Linked DNA regions of Oryctolagus cuniculus. The protein of the gene in region 1 interacts with the protein of each later gene in a biochemical or structural test. Links are inferred from orthologs where the notes say so. Each region holds a gene or a part of one and is shown on either strand. Other genes may lie near its edges. The genes, in order: HLTF, RAD18, ubiquitin-conjugating enzyme E2 variant 2 and PCNA.

Evidence for each region.
Region 2: the proteins of HLTF (region 1) and RAD18 form a complex in vitro, tested with the Homo sapiens proteins (2 studies listed by BioGRID). The link is inferred for Oryctolagus cuniculus from reciprocal best matches to the Homo sapiens genes HLTF and RAD18.
Region 3: the proteins of HLTF (region 1) and ubiquitin-conjugating enzyme E2 variant 2 form a complex in vitro, tested with the Homo sapiens proteins (2 studies listed by BioGRID). The link is inferred for Oryctolagus cuniculus from reciprocal best matches to the Homo sapiens genes HLTF and UBE2V2.
Region 4: of the proteins of HLTF (region 1) and PCNA, one has a biochemical effect on the other in vitro, tested with the Homo sapiens proteins (2 studies listed by BioGRID). The link is inferred for Oryctolagus cuniculus from reciprocal best matches to the Homo sapiens genes HLTF and PCNA.

What each region holds. Positions count from the first base shown.
Region 1 is NC_091435.1:132,373,452-132,379,486, forward strand, and holds the start of HLTF (helicase-like transcription factor), read left to right. Parts: upstream 1-2,345; 5' UTR 2,346-2,595; coding exon 2,596-2,615; intron 2,616-3,730; coding exon 3,731-3,938; intron 3,939-6,035. UniProt on the Homo sapiens protein: Has both helicase and E3 ubiquitin ligase activities. Possesses intrinsic ATP-dependent nucleosome-remodeling activity; This activity may be required for transcriptional activation or repression of specific target promoters.
Region 2 is NC_091441.1:117,604,294-117,609,788, reverse strand, and holds part of RAD18 (E3 ubiquitin-protein ligase RAD18), read right to left. Parts: intron 2,846-5,495; coding exon 2,508-2,845; intron 1,868-2,507; coding exon 1,768-1,867; intron 1-1,767. UniProt on the Homo sapiens protein: E3 ubiquitin-protein ligase involved in postreplication repair of UV-damaged DNA. Postreplication repair functions in gap-filling of a daughter strand on replication of damaged DNA.
Region 3 is NC_091441.1:59,363,714-59,368,815, forward strand, and holds ubiquitin-conjugating enzyme E2 variant 2, read right to left. Parts: upstream 2,378-5,102; 5' UTR 2,338-2,377; coding exon 1,900-2,337; 3' UTR 1,141-1,899; downstream 1-1,140. UniProt on the Homo sapiens protein: Has no ubiquitin ligase activity on its own. The UBE2V2/UBE2N heterodimer catalyzes the synthesis of non-canonical poly-ubiquitin chains that are linked through 'Lys-63'. This type of poly-ubiquitination does not lead to protein degradation by the proteasome.
Region 4 is NC_091442.1:30,189,476-30,195,552, forward strand, and holds the start of PCNA (proliferating cell nuclear antigen), read right to left. Parts: upstream 3,522-6,077; 5' UTR 3,282-3,521; coding exon 3,061-3,281; intron 2,216-3,060; coding exon 2,118-2,215; intron 1,967-2,117; coding exon 1,899-1,966; intron 1,025-1,898; coding exon 830-1,024; intron 1-829. UniProt on the Homo sapiens protein: Auxiliary protein of DNA polymerase delta and epsilon, is involved in the control of eukaryotic DNA replication by increasing the polymerase's processibility during elongation of the leading strand.

The DNA.
Region 1 (6,035 bases):
CAGAAGTGGAGCAGCCTGGTCTTGAACTGGCCAGGGTGCTAACCCGCTGCGCCACAGTGTCAACCCCATATACGGTGTTAAAATAAATGAGGTAACAATACGAGGGAACAATTTATACTACTTTTCAACTTTTCTGTGAGTCTAAAATTAGTTTAATAAGTTGAAAAGGAGCTTGCATTTCTTTATTATATTTTGTGTCTTGCTTTCTTATGGCCAAAAACCAATATATATTTAACACAGAGAATGTGTTATATGCATATACACAAAAAGAAAGAAAATGAACACCCCCCCCATTTAAACATCTAGAGGTATCAGTGTTATAAGTTCCTTTGGTGTAATATATGGAAGTATATAGCATATATGATTTTAGTCAGAGGCTCCATTTGCAAAGGTAACCTTTATATTCCCCCCCTCCCCTTTTTAAAGATTCATTCATTTCTTTGAGAAGCACAGTGGTTAAGATGTACCTTGGGACCAGATTGCCTGGGTTTGAGTTCCAGCTCTACGTCTGTTCCCAGCTTCCTGTTCATATTCTCCAGTACCTGGATCCCTATCACCCACGTGAGAAACCCAGATTGAGCTTTCTTTCTTTCCTTTCTTTTTCTTTTCTCTCTCTCTTTTTGAAAGATTTGGTTATTGAAAGTCAGAGTTACAGAGAGAGAAGGAGAGAGAGGTCTTCCATCTGCTGGTTCACTCCCCAAATGGCTGCAATGGCTGGAGCTGTGCCGATCCAGGAGCTTCTTCCGGGTCTGCCAAGTGGATGCAGGGGTCCAAGGACTTGGGCCATCTTCTACTGCTTTCCCAGGCCATAGCAGAGGCTGGATTGGAAGTGGAGCAGCCGAGACTCAACTGGCACCCATATGGGATGCCAGCACTGCAGGTGGCAGCTTTACCTGCTAGCCACAGTGCTGGCCCCCTCTCTTTGCCTTTCAAAAAAAAAAAAAAAAAAAGGAAGAAAGAGCCACACATGCCATTCTTGGATTTCCTGTTTACCAAGTCAAACAGGGGGCGTGACATGATTGATTTCCATAAAGGGAGGGGGACAGATGAGAAAGTGTGTTTGTGACTGGGAGACAGGAGGCTGGAGCAGTTTTGGATTCCTTCCTCTTCCTCACCAGCCATACTCAAATCAATGGGTGAATCCTGCTAGCTCTCTGAGCTTTGTCAGCTCGCCATTCCAAGCCACCATTCTGTCTTACCTGGACACCATAATTTTCTATCAGTTGCTTCTATTCTTGCCTCCTAAAATTCATTCTCCACAGAACTGCCACAAGTGAATTTTTTGAAGCCTAATTCAGTCCTCATTCTCCTACTTAAAAAACATTCACTGGCTTCCTATTGCCATTAAAGTAAAATCCAAACTTTAGGAGGGTCCATGCATTAAAGTCTGCCCTTTATCTTCCTGATGATCCACTTTGTGTCAGCTTCTCCTCCTCCTTGGTCCACCAAGCAACCTACAGTTCTTGTTCCTGTTACAATCGTTCTTTTTTCACAAAACATAACCTACTGTGATCATTCTGGATTTGTACTTGTTTCATCTCAAAATGAGGACAAACTGCACTTGGTTGTTACACTAGAGATCCTGGGTCCCTCAAAGTGGGCATTGGAGGGATGAGTCAAGCAGATAACCTGCGTCCCTGGCAGCCCCGAGGCCACAGGTCCATCGTCCCAACCCCACTTTAACAAGCTTCTTCCGTCCTTGGCAGGGGCAGCCATGGGCCCACAGGGAAGCTGGTGTTGTCCATTTCCGGCAGTCGCCAACCAAGTCAGTTGTACCATCATACGTTACAGTCTTCCCGCGCTAAGAAATGACAATTTTCCTTTAACACACACACACACACACACACACTTGGGAGAAACACTCGCTCTGGAAGATCCGATGAAGATTTTCCAAACTCGGTGTATCATAGATTAAGTCAACGAGGCTTAAAATGGAAAAGAAAAAAGAAAAGAAAAAAAGACTAAGTCTCCACGGTTGCAACAGTTATTCCGCGGGTAGCCCAGGTTCTGTAGCAGAGCTTATTCAGACGAAGAAATGAAAATGAGAAAAATGAGCAGCAGAACGACGCAGAGGCTTGAAAATGTGTCTGGGCCTTAGAATGTGGCGGGGAAACAGCAGAAAGGAGAGTTGTTTTCTTCCGAAGCAGGGAATCACCAGAAAACGCAGCACCATCGCACGGTAGTCGCACTCCGACGGCCACGAGGCTTTCCCGCGCGCCCGGCTTGGGGGCGGGGAAGAACCCGGATGGAACAGCCCTTCGCAACCGGGACCCCCACTGTCTTTGAATCGCAGCGCGGGGCGGAGTTGCCCTCCCTTCCGTGTCCTGATTGGGTCATTTCCGCAGGCTCCCTCTCGTGATTGGGTGGTCCTAACGCCAGTCAGAGCGTCGCTGGTCTCTCGTATTGTTGCTGGAAGGAAACGGCGACGACGTCTGATTAGACCCGCGGCGTCTTTCCCTGTCGGTGGGAGCATTTCATCCTGCGCTCAGAACCTGCCCGCGGCTTGAAGGCTGTAGGGCCAGGAAGGACGCGTAACAGGCTGCATCAGAGCCCTCCAGGGCGCCCAGCGTCTTCCTCGTCACCCCGCACAGCGCCATGTCCTGGATGTTTAAGAGGTGAAGGGGGCGAAGGGGGTGGGGCACTGGAGCTAACGGCCTGGCGGCGTCCCCAAATGAACCTGACCTTCCCCGTGTTTCCTCCGCCTTCCCTGTGCGATTCGTGCAGCTTGTGTTTGTTCTACTTTTCGCTCCTGTGGCTAGGGGAGAAATACATGCATTGTCTTCTTGGCGAGGAGAGACTCTTCAGGCGAGTCTCGTGCCAGACCCTCGGGGAATTTATGTCACGGACTGTGGGGGGCCTGGGACTCAAGGCTTCCTAGCCCTTGCTTCAGGCAACAAAAAATATTCAGCTCCGCTGTGCCGCTACACATTGTGCTCGGACTAGAGGGTCGAGCAATACAGGCCTTGTCCCCAGGTGGTTCGTAATTTGTGTATATGCACAGACGGTTGCAAACGGTTGCAGAGAAGCTAGACGAGGTGTGCGTGATGCGGAAGGAAAACGCAGGCAAAAATAGCGACTGTCTCTTAAGAGAATAGAAACTTTCCGGAAGCCTCCACCAGACTAACGCTCATTTTCCTTCGTCCAGATTGCTTTTCATGCCTATTCCCAAAATCATTATTCATTAAAGGATTGGGGTTACCCTTAAACCAACGAATTGGGGAGCGGGAGATGACGTAGCTTGAATACCAGATTAAAATGCGGTCGGTTCCTAGGGAATTAAAGTAATGGATGCGGGATATAGTATCTGAAAAAATATAAACAACTTAATGTATGCATGCATAATAATGGTTCCATTTTTGCAAGTTTCTTCTGGCTAAGTCCTTCTTTAAATTTTGGCATAAAATTGGAGTTACAAACGTCATATACGCTTAAATTTAAGTGATTTTCACTGGGAAAGAGATTTGTGACCCTTTACAGGATTTTTCATTTTGTATGGGGGAGGGATGGACGAGCCAATTTAACAGGTGGGATTTCCGGGAGCTTTGCCTATTGCAGTCTCTGCTTTAACCAGAGTGACTGTTAATTTGTGTACAGTGATTCCCACATTAGATTTTATTTGCTAAAATAGAATATTAAAAACTATTGGCCTATAAATACGGATAAGTCTTTGAGAAGTACTTGGTTAAGTAGTGTATTGTTTTTTGTGCCTCTTCCCCTCCTTTTTTCATAGGGATCCTGTTTGGAAGTATTTGCAGACGGTCCAATATGGAGTCCATGGAAATTTTTCACGCCTCTCATATCCAACGTTTTTCCCACGTTTTGAATTCCAAGATATTATCCCTCCAGATGACTTCCTGACTAGTGATGAAGAGCTGGATTCAGTTTTATTTGGAACTTTGAGAGGTCATGTGGTTGGACTACGCTATTATACTGGAGTAGTGAGTATAACAGTAGATACTAAGTTAAATAGTGATATGTTTATGGTGTTAACCCAGAAAGTGAGAAATTTAGAAGGTGATGCATGCAGTTATTATAAATAATTGTAATATACATAGGCAAGAGATACCAAATACCTGAACTTCTTTAATATTTTATTTTTGTGTTACACTTATGATATATGCAGCACTTTTGCCAGCACTGTCACTTGATCCTTAAAATAACTCTGGAATAGATGGGACATTTATTATCCCCTTCCTATAACTGCAGCTCTGGAAGGTCAAAGCCATGTGAAGAAAGCAGGAATACTACACAAGGATACTTCAAAAAGTTTGACACAGTGAACAAGACGTGTTTTGGGATGCCCACATCTCATATCAGAGTGCCTAAATTCAAATCCCAGTTCCAGTTATGATTCTGGAAGGCAGCAGGTGAAAGTGTTAGATGGAAGGAGAGACAGAAAGATCTTTCTTCTGGGTCACTCCCCAGATAGCCACAGTAGCCAGCCCTGGGCCAGGCCAGAGCCAGTAGCTTCATCCGGGTCTCCCATGTAAGTGGCAGGGGCCCAGACACTTTTGGACCATCTCCCGCTGCTTTTCCCAGGCCATTAGCAGGGAGCTGGATTGGAAGTAGAGCAGCTGGAATGTGAAACTGGTTCCCATATGAAATACCGGCATCACAGGTAGTGGCTTTACCTGCACGCCATAATGCTGGCCACCTGTGATGACTTTTTTCTTCCTGTGTCTGTCATTCTAAATCTGTATTTTCTACTCTGTGCATGTGTATATATGAGAGGGGGCAGGAAGAAAAAAGAGGAAGAGACAGATTTGACTATGTAAATTTTTTTTTAAAGATTTATTTATTTATTTGAAAGAGTTACACAGAGAGAGAAGGAGAGAGAGAGAAAGAGAGAGGTCTTTCATCCGCTGGTTCACTCCTCAGTTGGCTGTAATGGCCGGAGCTGAGCCGATCCAAAGCCAGGAGCCAGGAGCTTCTTCGATGTCTCCCATGTGGATACAGGGGCCCAAGGACTTGGGTCATCTACTGCTTTCTCAGGCAATGGTAGAGAGCTGGATCGGCAATGGAGCAGCCAGGACTTACATGGGATGCCGGCACAGCAGGCAGCAGCTTAACCCACTGTGCCATAGCGCCGGCCCCGACTGTAACTTTATTTGGTCAGTAGTTTGCTGTGGCCATCTAGTCTGCTTGTGTGATATTTGGATAATAAACCTCTAATTTTATTAAATATGATTTAAAAATGAGCTATCAAAGTTAACAAAATTATTTTAATTATTAATAAAAATTAGTAAAAAATTTTAAACATGCATAAAAGTAGAGAATAGTACAATAAGCTTGGATATACCCTGGATCCAGATTAACAGGTTTTATTCCACATTTGCTTCATCTCTTTATTTTGTTCTTTGTGCTAAAGCAATCCCAAATGTGTCATTTTACATAGAAATCATTTAGTGTATATTTGTAAAAAAATTCATTTTCTTGCATGTAATTTTCATAATTGGCAAAATTGGGGCCAGTGTTGTGGTACAGTAGATTAAGGTGCTGCCTGCAGCGGCGTCTCATATCGGAGCTCTGGTTGCAGTTGTGGCCACTCCATTTCCAGTCCAGTACCTGCAAATGCACCTGGGAAAGCAATGAAGGTGGCGCAACTGCTTGGGCCCCTGTAGCCCATATGGGTAGTTTTGGAAAGATCCCTGGGCTCCTGGCTTTGGGCACGATCAGCCTTGGTTGTTGCAGCCAATTGGAGAGTGAACCAGTGGATGGAAGACCTCTCTCTGTCTCTTTCTCTCTGTTGCTCTGACTTTGAAATGAAGTAAGTCTTCTAAAAAATTCTTTCAAATTCTTGCATAGTTATTTCATAATATGCATTTCCAGAAACTTTGAAGACTCTTCCTACACAAGGATGTAAAAATTTCTGTGCAACAAAATAAACTTATGTTTTCATACCATTTTCCACGAACTTTTTGAAATATGCTTCCATGTGGGAATTAATGTTTTTCATCATTTTGGGGGAGCTTTGGCCATTATTTTGTCAATTATTTTTCTTCCCTGTTTTCTCTCCTGGTGCTTAAATGTGAGTT
Region 2 (5,495 bases), on another chromosome or scaffold:
CCAAGTCACACTCAGGAGCAACCGGCAGGGCTGCAGTGTTCTTTGTATTTATTATTTCTTTATTTTAATTATTTACTTGAGAGGTAGAGTTACAGACAGTGAGAGGCAGAGACAGAGAGAAAGCTCTTCCAACCGCTGATTCACTCTCCAAATGGCCACAACGGCTTGAGCTGGGCCAATCCAAAGCCAGGAGCCAGGGGCTGCCTTCAGGTCCCCCACATGGATGCAGGGGCCCAAATACTTGGGCCATCCTCCACTGCTTTCCCAGGCCTTAGCAGAGACCTGGATCGGAAGAGGAGCAGCCAGGACTGGAACCAGCGCCCACATGGGATGCCGGCACTGCCGGCGGAGACTTTAGCCCACTACACCACAGCACCAGCCCCTGGACTGCACTGTTCACTCTTGGACACTGACAAATCATGGACAAGGCTGTCTTTGAGCTGAACATATCTGCAGAAACATGACAGATGTATCCAGAAAAAGCAATTCTTTATTCTTGAGAAAGAAAATACTCAGCTTCCATACTCCCAACTCATTCTATAGGAACAAACACCCTCAAAGAGAAAGGCAGCCTGCAGACTTCCCACGACGTATGGGAAACAACCTGTGGGACCATCCAGCTTAACTTATCTCAAGTCTCTCCTAACTAAGCCATCTAAAACCTTTATTCTCTCCTACACACTGCCCACTAGGTGGGAGCATTGTGCGTACGCAGCTGCCCAGGGTCCATTCTCAAGCACGTCCCCAACCAGGAGCTAACACAGTAAGCTGTGCTGTAGGTTGCCTTCTGGATCACGTGACACCAAGTGTTCTTCAGAGCCTGGACTCCCTTAAAACTTGCTCAAAAATCAAGCGGCATCTATCTCTAATCACAAAAACAGTAAGACGGTCCTGCCTTCTTTACAAGGTACTATTACTTCACGGCTTTTGGAAATCAGTCTGCTACGTCCTTCAAGACAGAGGAAACTAAGGAGCCGATCGCTCCAGTCACGCCCACTTCCCGATCCCCATTCACTTCTTCGGCTTCCGTCTTCTTTCCAAGTCTTCTTCTCCTGGACGCTTAAGCCTCACGCTCCCCAGCAAGCCCCACTGATCGGTGCTCCTGCCCTGGGGATGGGGAAAGCAGAAAACAGCTCTGGCCCACAACACCCAATTTCACAGACGAGCTTGGAAAGAAATGAACTGCGGTCTCCGACGTTTAAAATTTTAGTAGCAGTCCCCAGACCCGACTCAGCTAAGTATTCTGACCGAGTGGGAGCTGAGGAAACAGCAAGCGGGCAGGGACTGGGAGACGTCACAGCTAAAGGAGAAGGGGACTGGAGGGCTGGGGCAGACAGCAGAGTGAACGCTGCCTTTTTTTCCAAATTCGTAAAGCCTAGGAAACACCTACAGAAAGGCGCCGAGTTGTGCTGCGGTGCCAGCATCGTCATGCAGCAGGTAAAGGCACCGCCTCAGCACCGGCATCCCACATGGGTGACGGTGTGAGTCCTGGCCACTCCATTTCCAATCCAGCTTCCGGCAAATGCGCCTGGGAAAGCAGCAGAGGATGGCCCTAGTGCTTGGGTCCCTGCACCCACGTGGGAGACCCAGATGGAGTTCCAGGCTCCTGGCCTCGGCCTGACCCAGCCCCAGCTTTTTGTGGTTATTGAAGAGTAAACCAACAGAAAGAAGATCTCTTTCTGTTTCTACATCTCTCTCTGTAACTTTGCCTTTCAAATAAATAAATAAATCTTAGAAGAAATAAAGAGTCGCGCTCAACTATCTTACCTTCGGAGGCTTTCCTTCTTCTCTTCACGGGACAAACAGCTGTCTAGGTGCTTATTAATGTGACTCTCTGGAATGTTAACCCCACAAACAGGACAATCCACTGTATTTTTTAAAAAGAGAAAAGGGTGTTATTATTTGCAGAAAAATAAAAAATTATATAAGCCAATACCTTTCAGCAATTAAGACAAAAAACGGAATCCCAATTTAACATATACTTAGAAAAACAGAAGAGAAAAAGAATAACCCATGAAGGCAACAGGACCGGGTAACGCTATATGCGGGGAGTCACACAATTAGAATCTTGGGCCTAGAGGAAAAGAATGCAAATGAGCCTGCAAGTTGATTTATTGGAGAATGCTCTGGTTAAGCTTTTCCAGCAAGGTACGACCAAACTCTAAGCTAGTCCTAGGTTTTCCCAAGCGTCAGCTGCCATCCGTATTTAGCACAGACGCAATCACAACAGGCTGGGGAAGACAGCCCGGGTCTGCAGGCAAGGCAGGGGCAGGAGCAGCTTCATCAACGCACTGACTGGCTGGCCCAACTACTGCTCACCTTTCCAACGGGCACGAACTGATTGATTTAGCTTTTATTGGTAATTCCCCACGTAATGCTAAGATTAGTTCGTCACTCCCAAACAACTTCGTGGAGTTACAGGGATCTGGGGTGGTCTCTCAGGTCTACACGGGTAAGAGGCCAGGAGACGACCGCTGAGTATGAATTGTCACGTAAGAATTTCCTACCTTTAGCAACCTGTTTCAAAGTGGATGTAGAGGGGGTCTCGGGACCGTTGGCCTCCATGGAGCCAGGAGTCACCTTTTCTGGGAAACATGTCTCCTTGGGCTCTGCAGAAGGGCCCGCCTCTGTCTGAGGGCTCAATTTGCTTTCCTTTTCGTTTATCAACAACTCTGATGTGGAACTTGCAACTTCCTTGATCAAGAAATTGTCTATCAGTCTGCGGCCATGCTTTGAAGACTGTCTGGCGGCAGCAGGAGTGAGGGCTCTGCCGGTGAGCTTCTTCGCAGAGGAGGACACGGGAGAGATGGGAGGCGACTCCAAAGCAGACTGCAACAGATGACTCCTGAAAGCACAGAAACACAGCAGGCTTTCCCATCAGCCAAAAATACTAATGTAACAACACTCAACCCATCACCAGGACACGAAATGATGCTTAGGGGAATAACACAAACTGTTTTCCCAGTTAACACTTGTTCCTCTGAGATACAGAAGTTAGGCCATAATGACAACCAAACCAAAGTGTTGCTGCTGGAATAAAACAAAAGCAATAAACCTGACTCCAAAGATAGTTCATCGGTGTGTATAAGCAAATGGCAGACTTCAGGCTCTGGTCATGGAACAGCTGATATGAGGCTTATTCTCTCTCTCTTCTTTTAAAGATTTATTTATTTGAGAGTCAGAGTTAACAGAGAGAGAAGGAGAGGCAGAGAAGCAGAGAGAGAGAGAGAGAGAGAGAAGTCTTCCATCCCCTGATTCACTCCCCAATTGACCACAACAGCTGGAGCTGCACCAATCTGAAGCCAGGAGCCAGGAGCTTCTTCTGGGTCTCCCACATGGGTGCAGGGGCCCAAGGACTTGGACCATCTTCCACTGCTTCCCTAGGCCATAGCAAAGAGCTGGATCGGAAGAGGAGCAGCTGGGACTTGAACCAGCACCCATACGGGATTCTGGTACTGCAGGCAGCAGCTTTACCTGCTACACTACAGCACCAACCCCAAGGTTTATTCTGTAATCAAAAACAACTTTCTTCTAACATACAACAACTGGGCTGTAATTAATACAAGGGAGAACAGACACGGGGAGTGATCTAAAACTCTCATGAGGGTCACCCCAGGAGAATTTTCTGCAAGTTGTGCAGAAGCGTAAGCAAAGCCAAAGTCAACCTTACCCAACCAAACACTGCACCTCACCTCACCAGAACAGAGCTGAAGAGCTGCTCATTCAACTGCCATCACAACAAAGTTCAACATCTTTCAAATGAGGATAATTCACAGCTTATATATTTCACCTACAATACTCAGCATGTATTTTTAAGTTACCAGGCATGCAAAGAAGCAAGGAAAAACACAGGCACTAACCAAGAGAAAAAACAGTCAACAGAAGCAAACCCAGAGGTAATCCAAAAAGAGGCATTAGCAGGCATGACTTCAAAAGAACTGTGATAAGCAAGTTACAGAAAAAAAGACGACAAATGGATAAAAAAGATAATGTACTTCAAGAGAGTATTAAAATCCTTTAGAAATAATCAAATGAACATTCTACAGTTGCAAAGCTGGATGAGTATAATAGGAGACAGCAGAGGACGGTATTAGTAATCATTAAGACAGGACAACAAGAAATACACAAACCCAAGTAGAGAGAGAAAAAAGAAGAGAAAAGACAATAAAAGTAAAGTACGATATATAAGGGTAAATCAAAAATTATTTTGCTGAAAAAAAGTGAAACCCACCATAGGTTTTTCATAACAGACATTTCTATGAATTTTTTGAAGACTTCCTGTAGAGATAATAACTGGTATCCAAAAGAAGCAGGAAGAGAATGGGAAATATCAGAAAAATCGAGGATTATGAACTTCCAAATCTTATAAAAAATCAAAATCTGCCACTTTAGAATTCAGACTAAACTAACAGAAAAATAATTAATAAATATCCCAATATTATATAAGCATCACAATTCTAAATAACTATACAGGACAAATCACAATGGAAATGTAAAGATATTCTGAGGTAAATGATAACATGAGAGTTTAACAAAGTAGTCCCTAAAGGAAAAATTGGATTAATAAGAAACAAACAATATTCCAAGCTTAGAAACATCAAACTAAAACCAGAGATAGAAGCAAATAATAACAGAGAACAAAGAACAGAAAAGAGACACATCCTGTGGCACAGAACCACAATTTGCAACTATGGCCAAGTGCTGGTTCAAGTTCCAGCTGCTCTGCTTCCAATCTAGCTTCCTGCCAATGCACCTGGGAAGGCAGTAAATGATGCCCCCAAGTCCTTGGCTGGTGCTACCTACATGGGAGACCAGGATAAGCTCCTGGCTCCTGGCTTCGGGCTGGCCCAGTGCTGGCCGTTGTGACCATCTGGGGACTGAATCAGTGAAATCAATCAATCTCTCTCTCTCTCTCTCTCTCTGTAACTTAGACTTTCAAAATAAATAAATCTTGAAAAGGTACAATGATTGCATTTGGAGAGAAACACACAAAAAAGTATTTTTTATTTGCAGGTGAAATGATTATGCACACAGAAAATCAAATTCAATCTATAAGAAACTGGAATAAATGAATTTTTACAAGGTCCTGGTTCCCTGTCAATAAACAAGAAATTAATGTGTCTCTATATATTAGCAAGCAGAAAATAACATCTTTAAATACCACTTACATAACATCAAAAATATTAAACATCTAGGAATACATTTTTTTAATGTGTAAAACCTATATCCTGAAAACTTCAAAACATTCTTAAGAGAAATAAAAGAAGGCTTAAATAAACAGATATTCCAGGTTCTAGTCATCGTCCAGATGACTCAACAGTGTTAAAATGCCTATTTTCTCCAAAATGACTCACAAAGTAAATGCAATCCCAATCAATTGATAAGCCACTGTTTTGGGAGAGGAAATAATAAATCATTCTGAAACTTCCACAAAAATGCAAAGGCCCTATAATGCTTGAGTCCTGAAGAACAACGTTTGAGAAAAGGAACTAACA
Region 3 (5,102 bases), on another chromosome or scaffold:
GTGTGCATCCAAAACCTCCACATTGTTCCATAGTGTCCCCCCTAGTTTGTGTGGAGTTTCCTTTGCCATTTTCTCCCTAACCCTTCCCTGAGATTGCACTCCATCCACTTTTTTTTACTATCATCGTCTAGATTAGACCAGTCAGCTCCCCCTCTTTGAAAAACCCAATATAATGTAGTTTTTATCACTTCTCAAAGTCCCTACCTCTTAACACCATAATCGTATTTAATTTCCACTCTCTTAGTATTATTAATATAGGGCTTGGGGATTTAAACCCCTGCATAAGTACTAGGGCCAAGTCATAGTCAAACCATAGCAAAGTCACTCACTAGAGAAATATTTGCCTAAGGACATTTGCTAATACTTTTAAAGGATTTATGAACCTCTTTATTTCTATCTATAGACTCTATCAGCTACGTTACTCATTCGTTAATATTTCCTTTGGGTCCTGATCACCTTACAATCCCACAAGGTGATATAAACTCATTGGAACCTCTTACTAACTTTGATGTGTGAAAAGAATATTTAATATTTTATGTGTCATGTTGTTTGGGGGAAGATACCACATGTTATGGTGGAAAGAAATTATTCTAGGAGTCAGAAAACCTGCTATCTTAATTCTGTCACCAGTGAAATGATATGATAAAAAACAACATAATCTTTGCCTCTAGATTTTCATCTATAAAGTATAAACATGTAGGAGTTTTCATTCTCTGTGTGTGAATGTGTATGGTGAGATGGGGAGAATTAACGTCCTCTAAGGCCCTCTAAGGTCCTTTCTGTTTCTAAAATGTACATATTTTATACACCAAAGTACTGTTCTGTTATAGAACACTTTTATTTTGAAGTCATTAAAAACCATCCTGGAGAAAAGTCACATAAACTCAAAACAACACAGCTGTGAGTATTCAGCACTCCTTGGTTACAAGTAGTTATACCACCATTTAATGGTGTCATTAAAAATGCATTGTCACCATAGTAACTGTAACATTATAAGACACCAGATCTTTCCCTGAAAGGCTTGTGCTGAACAGCTTCCATTGCCTTATGCAACGGTTGCTTCACCTTTTCTTAGCAGATGCACAGCTTTCCTTTCTTTTTCAATTTATTTGGTACCAAGAAAAACCATCAACAACCTGATTTTTTTTTTCCCGAGGACACTTTCCACATTTTATTTACATTTTATGACTAACTTTAATCTCAAAATCACATATCCATACACCTATTTTCTTTTTTTGTTGACTTCACTTGAACTTAAATGCATGGTTTGTTAAACAAAGAATGTAAACAAATATTTACCATGTCTGTTACATGTAACACACAGGAACAGCTTTTAACAGAAATTCATCGACCCCCCCCCAACATTTTTTTATTATAAATACAGGTATCAAAACAATCCTGAACATATGTTTATACTACTAGTAGTCAGCACCCACACCGCTTTAAAATTTAACACAATTTGTGACAATATTCATTGTACCTGCTACTTTAAACAATTTCAACTGCAGCTCTTTCACTAAGCAAGATGGATAAAAGCATGCCATTTCTGTTTGTCCTTCTTGGGATTTTTACTTTTCAGAAACACACGTTTCCACTGCCATCTCACACGTCTCGCCACGCTTGCGTCTTGTAAACCCGAATCCTACTTGGAGCACTCCAGGTTTATGTTTAAATGACAGTGCCTCAACAAGAGAAAGAAAAATTGTGCTGCATTTTTCCTCCCGTTACCTGAAAACATAATGGGTGTACATATATTAAATATATTACAAATGTCCGGGTCACATATACCAGCTGGAATTCTTTACTGAATGTGTGGGTATTCTGCATTGTGATATTTAATCAAGACATTAATATGAGTAGAAGGTTGTTGATTTAAGACAAGTTTGAGATCCATTAAAATTAATTGTTGTATGTTTGTCCTTCTGGTGGCTGTGGAAGCTTCATATTTTCTTTGGACATCATTAGACGTCTTAGCTCTTGAAGTACAACTTTAATGCTATATGAATTTTGCCATTTTGCTAATACTGGTATGCTCCGTGCATCCACCATTCCACTGGAATTATTTATCCCATTCATATTAATTTTTGTTACAAATCTAACTGATGGAGGAGCTTCTGGGTATTTAGGTCCACATTCTACTTTCAGGCTATATATTCTGTTCTCATAATTTGTCCTTGGTGGCCCAATAATCATGCCTGTCCACCTTGTAAGTGTCATATCTTCATCATCTTCAAGGCCCCAGCTAACCGTACCATCTCCTACTCCTTTTTGTCCTTCTTCAAGTTCTTCCAACAAGCGAAAATTACGAGGAACTTTAACTCCTGTGGAGACCGCCATCTTCTCCTGCAGCCCGACGCAGCCCAACAACCTGCTTTTAAAAAGTAAAAATTTCTAGTACTTGGAAGTATACATTACCAGTGGTTAACAGTGCCATTATCTTGCAAATTGGAAAATAAAATTATTCCCACTCAGGACAAAATTCTAGTGTAACTCTCCTCCCAAATCCTTTTCATGTTTTTGCCCCTTTCTTGACATTGTTTCTTCCCTGGTGATTCTTTGTCCTTTGGCTCTGATTTTTTTCCTCCCCTATTCATGACACTCTGTCACACATTCCACATCCTATTTACTCACAGGTAGTCACTAAGAACAAAAACATTTATTGGTATGGACTTCTCTTAAATTACATTTAGTTATTTATTTAAAAGGCAGAGAACAAAGATAGAGAGACAGTGGCAGAGAGAGATTTTCTATTCACTACTTCACTCCCCAAATGCCTGCAACAGTCAATGCTTGGCCAGGCTGAAACTGGGAGCCTGGAACTCAATCTGGTCTCTTGCATGGGTAGAGAGGAGGAGCATCCATCACCTGCTGCCTTCCCAGACACACATTAGCAAGAAGCCAAAAGCAGAAGCAGAGCCAGACACACAAACATGGGATGCAAGTTCCCAAGTGTTGTTGTAACCACTGAGTGCCCGCACCCTCTGTAATGGTCACTCCTGGATGCTATGTGGTTAAAAAAAAAACTGTAGCAAAGGCGAAATGAAGAAGGGAGACTAGTCAGAAAAAAATGCAGTAGGCTGTCAAGTATAGAAGTAGTTTGAATAGCCAGCAAGGGCATGGGTATTAGAAGATTCTTTTCAATTAAAAATGTAACATCTTTGACAAGGATGTTCGGAAGGTTTATTTGCTTTCTTATGCCATCATGGCTGCTGTGTCTTGTCCAGATTCTGATGAACAAGGGGAAAGAACACAATCATGTCTAATCTGTTCCAGGACTTCTGTGCCCAGCTCTGGTTTAGTAAAACATTCAAGTGAACCACAAATACAAAGCAGCTCAGAATTTGTAACAAATCATAGTAAAAGCATTAAAAACTACTTACACACACACACACACACACACACAATCAGTGCCAGGGCAGAAACCCAACATTCCTACCTCCACTGTGTAGTCTTGTTCACTAGCCTGTAATTCCAGTGACCCCAGGTATGTTCCATCCTTTCTCTCAATATTTATTTCAAGATAACTGCACAGCAGTCATCCTAAACAAATGCAACAAACAAGTGAGAGAAATAATTAGTACCTAATTAACCTTGAGATGTTATGAGAAAACTTAACATTGAGTTTTGCCCATATTGGGTGTTTTTTTTTTTTAAGCAAAACAGTCTATTTCTTGTTATTGTCTACTTTTTACATAGAATCATATAAGGACAGATTGTTAAAACTGTAAGGAAACCTTAGGGTTTCTTCTAGTTCAGTTCCCACTTAAATCAGTAAATTTAAGTGGTGCTCCCAAGATCACAATGTGTACCAAAAGTAGATAATATACAATAACACATTGAACCTTCTCTTCCAAGTTTGTATTCAGTCCATTTATCTTTCCCCTTTTCTCAAAATTTTATCCTTCCATTGTCTTTCTTTCCCACGGATGGGCTTGTATTCATTTCATGACTGTCATTGTAAGAATTCCCTTGCATAGGCCGGCGCCGCGGCTCACTAGGCTAATCCTCCGCCTAGCGGCGCCTGGCACACGGGGTTCTAGTCCCGGTCGGGGCGCCGGATTCTGTCCCGGTTGTCCCTCTTCCAGGCCAGCCCTCTGCTGTGGCCAGGGAGTGCAGTGGAGGATGGCCCAAGTGCTTGGGCCCTGCACCCCATGGGAGACCAGGAAAAGCACCTGGCTCCTGGCTCCTGCCATCGGATCAGCGCGGTGCGCCGGCCGCAGCGCGCCGGCCGCGGCGGCCATTGGAGGGTGAACCAACGGCAAAGGAAGACCTTTCTCTCTGTCTCTCTCTCTCACTGTCCACTCTGCCTGTCAAAAATAAAAAAAATAAAAAAAAAGAAGAATTCCCTTGCATATATGCTAAATTTTATTGACTCTCCCTCACTCTGTCATACTTCAATCTTCAATGATAATTAAACCCAACTTTCTTTCAACCTATGCTACCCTGTACTCAAACATCTGAATATGGCTAGGGAAAAGCACTCAGCTGACAGGTCTCTGTTAGGGTGTAAAAACACTAACCTCAAGGGGTTTCCAGTGCTTTCCTATAATCCCACTGAATTACTTTCCTACTCCTTAATTGGCTGTAACTTTAGCCTCCAACTCTACAACTCCCTACACCTTCCTATCTTCACGTTAACAAAACTGAAGCCATGAAAAGAGACTCTCCAAGCCATTCCCACCAGTTCGCACTCCTGTAGTCCTGTAGTCCTGAGTATCCACATATATGTTGCCTTCCCTTCCATTACATAGGAAGACTCCCTGTGCTCCTAGCTCCATTCTTTCTTGACTAGATTCTACCACCACCTCTTCCCCACTATAGAACACTGTTCTTACAATTGCCAACTGATGCCCTGTATCATCCGTTTTTCCTTGCTACTAGATGTAAGAAGAAGAGAGTATTTGGTCATGATTCTGGGTAGGGTCGGGTCCATTCTTCTGTTGTTCTCTCGGGAGGTCAGACATGTGGCTGAAGTCATCTGTTCACTCAACGACCTCACCTCCATGCTTTGTGATTAGCCAGAGGTTGTTGGGCTGAGATGTCTCCATTCTCTTGCTCATAGCCTTTCAACCAGGATGGCTCCAATTTCTAACATACTGAAG
Region 4 (6,077 bases), on another chromosome or scaffold:
TCAAGACAGATGTTTTAGATATTTAGGTTTTACACCTTCATTTAAACTAAGGAAGGACTATGCAGGCAAGGGACAGGAAAATACCTAACATTTACTGTAACCTTAAAATGCCAGACATTGTGCTAAGCACTTAGAATATGGCAAAAATTAAAATAATCCCAGGAAGATCTTTAATTGTTGATTTACAAAGAGTTTTAACTGATGCTCAGGCTAGCAAATAGTTTAATTTTAGTTGACCATATTAGCTCAAACATTTAAAAAATGCTTAAAAACATGATTGTCTACTTCTCTACCTTTAAAATGGGTTAAAATAGCAGCTACAACACATGTAACCATTATATATTAGCTTTATAAGAGCTCATACTAGCTAGACTTTTACCCCAACCACTGAACTGTCCTGTGTACATTTGGCATAAACAGAGTGAACATCTCCAGAAACCTAGGGGACAGATGCCTACTTTCCAAATCTTTTGGGAATTCCTATTTTAAACCCACAAAGCCACAGTTCAGTGCATTCCGTTTTCAGATGATTCTACACTGGATGGCACTTAGACATGGGCAGTTTACAAAGTATGCAGGAAATGGAATTAAAAGATAAGTTTTGGTGCAGTTTTTAATCCATGTAGTTTTCATAATACACATTTTCCATAAAATTTTGAAGATCCCTTAATGGGATCACTTGCAGATTTCAAATAGTAGCAATATTTTCAATTTTCACAAGTAACCTGGAATGCATTTTTATTTTTACCTTTCATAATTAACCTAATTTGTTGGACATTACAATTCTCCAAAATATTTGAGAAATGCTAAATCTAACTTTACTACTTACAGCTTCCTCTTCTTTATCAACATTGCTCGTTTGTGACAACTTAATGTTTCCATTTCCCAGTTCTCCACTGGCGGAAAACTTCACCCCATCTTTTGCACAGGATATTACAACGGCATCTCCAATATGGCTGAGGTCTCGGCATATACGTGCAAATTCACCAGAAGGCATTTTTACTACACAGCTGTACTCTTGTTCCTATAAAACAAACTTAACATTAACTGCTGGAAATCTGACATCCTCACTCTTAAGCAAACGTCTAAACTCAGATCTCAGGTTTTTCTGATTTCTTTAAAACATTACTAGAGACCAGTATTGTGGCACAGCAGGTTAAACTCATTTGCAGACACAGGCAGCCCACACTGTAATGCCAGTTCAAATACAAGCTGCCCTGCTTCTGATGCAGCTTCCTGCTAATAATGTACCTGGGAAAGCAGCAAACGATGACCCAAGTGTTTGGGCCTCTTTTACCCTTGTGGGAGACCTAGAGGGAATGCCAGGTTCCTGGTTTTGGCCTGGGCCAGGCCTAGGTATTGCAGCCATTTAGGGAGTGAACTAGTGAATGGAAGATCTCTTTTCATCTGTTTGCCACTTTGCTTCTCAAATCTTTAATTAAAAACTGGTTAGTATATGACTCACACTCCAACTAAAAGTAGTATGGCATAATAATCATACAAGAACCTCTTAATGATCCTCCAGAGCCAAATCAAGAGGATATTAGGGTTTCGAACAGTAGTGATGGGGCAGACTTAAAAGTGAAAACACATTATGCATTTTACATTTTAAACATTCCCAACAGCTGTTCTCATTTAATGGTGATAAGCCCACCCTTAATTAAAAAAAAGACGCACAGAGGCTAATGCAAGTAAGCACTCCACAGCAAAAAATGAATTCACCCCACAGTCAGTTTTAGGCTGCTACAGTTTAGTAAAATGACAACTGTCATACAAATATACAAATCTTGCTTTGAAAAAAAAAAAAGAAAATCTAGATATATAGGCAGTAGGCATTAGGTTATATTAACACATCTTAAGTAACTGATGACTATGTGCAATCAGAAGCTGATACTCACTGGAATTCCAAGCTGTTCAACATCTAAGTCCATTAATTTCATTTCATAGTCTGAAACTTTCTCTTGATCTACGAAAAGAAAGCAAATGTTAAGAAAAATGTTTTATAATCATGATGTAAATTTTTACGACCATCACAAAAAATTTAAAATTCTCACAGCTGAGAATCAAGAGAGATTTTAGTTCCCTATAGCATAACTCAGTACAAGGTTATGACTTACTTGGTGCTTCAAATACTAGCGCCAAGGTGTCCGCATTATCTTCAGCCCTCAGTGTAATGATGTCTTCGTTGCCGGCACATTTTAGTATTTTGGACATGCTACAACACACAAGATACGGTTTGCAATCAACACCATCTGCTCTAAATCTAGATTCCGAGCGCAATCAGGAGCTACCATGCCCACCCCTCAGGCTGTGTGATAGACAGGTGAGGGGAAACTGGCTGGAGGCTGGGTTCAGGGGTCCAGCACCATTCAGGAAGGCAACCCGGTCCTACTAATACTTAACACCGGAACACACCAGCAATTTCAGCTCTGGGTGTAACACATAAACAGCAGTATTTTGTGCACTGTAAATCCCTCCAGTGGGTTTAGTAAATTAGTGGGCCACGACGACCGTTATTAAGTGAGCTAACAAACCTGAAACACGCCCCACGCACTAGGAGTTATTTCTCTCGAGCCTTTTAAAACTTAACCGTATACACGGACCAGACAGGGAGCAGTCAGGAAGCTGAAAGCCAATGCCCCGGGGAAATGTCCCCAGGACAAATCCAGTTTAGGATGCTCAGTGCGACCGTGTAATAAAGACCCAGAAACATCATGTGGCCCAAGAAGGGTGACACAGAGCCACACGTTGCCACGAGAGCACGTAACAACGCAGTGCGAGTCAACACGACCACAGGTTTCCCCATTCCGGGCTGCAGAGCGCTCCGCGACAGGCGTTTTCCCGCCACCACTCGCTTTTGTGACGTTGGCGCGGAAAAGAGCCGGTTCGCGCGGCGGCCAGCGCGGGCTTTTCGGAACCGCGCGCTCCCCAGGGTCCCGCCTCCCGCCGTGGCAGGCCAATGAGAAGGCGCCGGTGGCCCACCCCAGCCAATGAGGGCCCGCCTCGAAGGCGCTCCCGCCAAGAGCCGGGGATGGCGGTGGGCCAGAGCCCCGGGCTTACCTGGTGAGGTTCACGCCCATGGCCAGGTTGCGGTCGCAGCGGTACGTGTCGAAGCCCTCGGAGCGCAGGGTGAGCTGCACCAGGGAGACGTGGGACGAGTCCATGCTTTGCAGGTTCACGCCGCCCGAGCTGATGTCCCAGCAGGCCTCGTTGATGAGATCCTTGAGTGCCTCCAGCACCTTCTTCAGGATGGAGCCCTGGACCAGGCGTGCCTCAAACATGGTGGCGGGGTCGCAGTGTCGCGGCTGCAGGCGAGTAAAGGAGAAAGTTCTGGCTGAAACTTCTTCGCGAGGCTCAGGACGAGCGGACGAATACAGCGGCGTGTACCCAAGACCCCCCGAAAGACGACGACTGGTTCGCAGCGCCGGCTACCGTTTAATGCCGCCGCGTCTGTAAGCGCGCGCTCTCCGCCCCTGCGCCCCGTGTTAAGGCGTCACGACGCTTCCCCGCCCACCGGCTGGGCGGAAGGGATCCTGAGGACCAATCGTGTTCCTGCTCCGCGCAAAGCCCGCCCCCGAAAGGCAGTCATTGGAGGCTGCTGAAGCGGGGGCGGGGCAGGCGCACAGCGCGCCTTCGGAGGCCGACAGGGTGACGCACTGCCAGCCGCCCCGCGTTTTTCTTAGTTCCTGGGGCGGACGCCAGACATGTCTGGGCGACGAAGCACCGGGTGACCGTCGAGCTTGGTGCGCTGTGTTGGTTTCTAAGCCTCTCGCTTTGAGGGGAGAATCACTGGCTCCCAGCACACACATACCAAGATCATATAATCTCTCAACTGTTTGCTGTCTACAGTTTTCTACACTTTCTTCTATAAAAAGATATTTAAAAAGAAATACGTTCACGTTCCAACAGAGTATGTCACGAACATCTTTTCGGTATTTACTTAATAAAGGTTCCGTAACGTCCCATGTATGCGACCTAATGACCAATTCCTGTTATTAAGAACACCTTTGGGCATTTGGGTGCTTTTGTGAGTTCAACTCCCTGAAGTAGCAGTGATGAATGAAGAGTATACTCATTCAGATAAATTACTAGTTGGCTTCTAAAGATCGTGTGTGTAAGCGTGCTCATCTCCTATGTTTTCTTGACTACAGATACTGAAAGTCTCATTTTTAAATCCGTGCTCAGTTGTGTGAAAAGTTTAGTGTTACAGATCGGTATCTTTCAAATGCTTGTATTTCTTGACGATGTGTGTGTGTGTGTGTGTGTGTGTTTAAGAGTTATTTATTTGAAAGGCAGAGTTATAGAGGCAGAGGCTGAGAGAGAGGTCTTCCATCCACTGATTCATTCCCCAGATGGCCACAACGGCTGGAGCTGCGCCAATCCAAAGCCAGGAGCCAGGAGCTTCTGGGTCTCCCATGCCAGTGCAGGGGCCCAAGGACTTGGATCATCTTTTACTACCTTCTCATGCCACAGCAGAGAACTGTATCAGAAGTGGAGCAGCCAGGACTCAAACTGGCGCCCATATGGGATGCTGGCACTTTAGGCCACAGCTTTACCCCCTTTGCCACAGCTCTGGCCCCAGATAGAAGATTTTATTTTAGGGGTCAATACTGTAGCATAGTGAGTAAAGCCGCTCCATGCAGTGCTGGCATCCCATATGGGCGACCCGGCTGCTCCACTTCCGATCCAGCTTTCTGCTATGGCCTAGGAAAGCAGTGGAAGATGGCCCCAAATTCCTGGGCCCACACACACACATGGAAGACCTGGAAGAAGCTCCTGGCTCCTGGCTGTGTATTGGCCAGGCGCTGGATTGACCAAGCTCCAGCTGCTTGTGGCCATTTGCGGAGTAAATCAGCGGATGGAAGACCTCTCTCTCTTTCTCCCTGCCTCTGTCTCTATCACTCTGACTTTCAAGTAAATGAAAGGATATTGAAAAAAAAATTATTTGGGGCAAAGATTTCAAAAATCCATTTATATCTGGGATCCTCAAAAAGCTTATGGAAAGTGTGTAGCATGTATTTCCATTTTTGCACCAAGATATATTTTAATATCATTTTGCATGATCTTTACTTACAGATTTATTTGAAAGACACAATGACACAAATGAACGCACTCAGGTCGTCCATCCGCTGGTTCACTTCCCCAATGCATACAATAGCCAGGAGCTTGGTACGCCATCCAAGTCTCTCATGTAGGGACGCAACAATCTGGACCATCAGCTGGATCAAAAGCAGGGGAGACAGGGCTTAAACTGGCACTCCAATATGGGCTGCAGGCATCTCAAGCCACGGTTAGCCTGCTGGGCCACAGCGCCCACACCCCCACGACTTTCTGAAGCACCCTCATCTATGAGAACAAATCCCTTGCTCATTTCTCTTGTGTTTTTTTTTTTTTTTCCCAATAGCATTTCTCCTTAGAAGCTTTGAATATCTACCTGTAGAATTCTTTAGCTTGTTGTTACCTACCTAGGTGTGGGTTTAGTTATCTTTATTTATTTTCATTGCATTTCAAAGGCAGAGAGACAGAGACCTTCCATCTGCCTGGGCCGGGCCAGACTGAAGCCAGGGGCCAGGAACTTAATCTGAATCTCTCACATTGGTGGTAGGGTCCCAACTGCTTAAACCATCTTCTGCTGCCTCCCAGGATGCATGAGCAGGAAACTAGAGTGAAAGTGGAGTAACTGGGTCTTGAACAGGTACTCTGATTAGGGACATGTGGTTTTAGTTTAAGTGGCAGCTTAACCCACTGCACTACAACATCTCACCCTTGGATTTATTTTTACTTATTCTGTTCAAAGCACTGAAGATTCATTTATTTCTTCAAGTCTAGAATATTATTAGCCATTAAGACGTGAAATATTGTCTCTTCTTACTCTGTACTCTTCCCCTGGAATTTCTAATTAGGCATATCTATTTGAGATTTCATCAATTGTAAAATGTATTGTTATTTTATGTAGCATAGCACAAGAAAGAAAATAGCATCTTTAAATGATCATATAATACTTTGTTGATTAGACTTTCTATTTTATAATTGTAAAATATCTTTGTGGATGTTAAACACATTTTTATCCTATATTA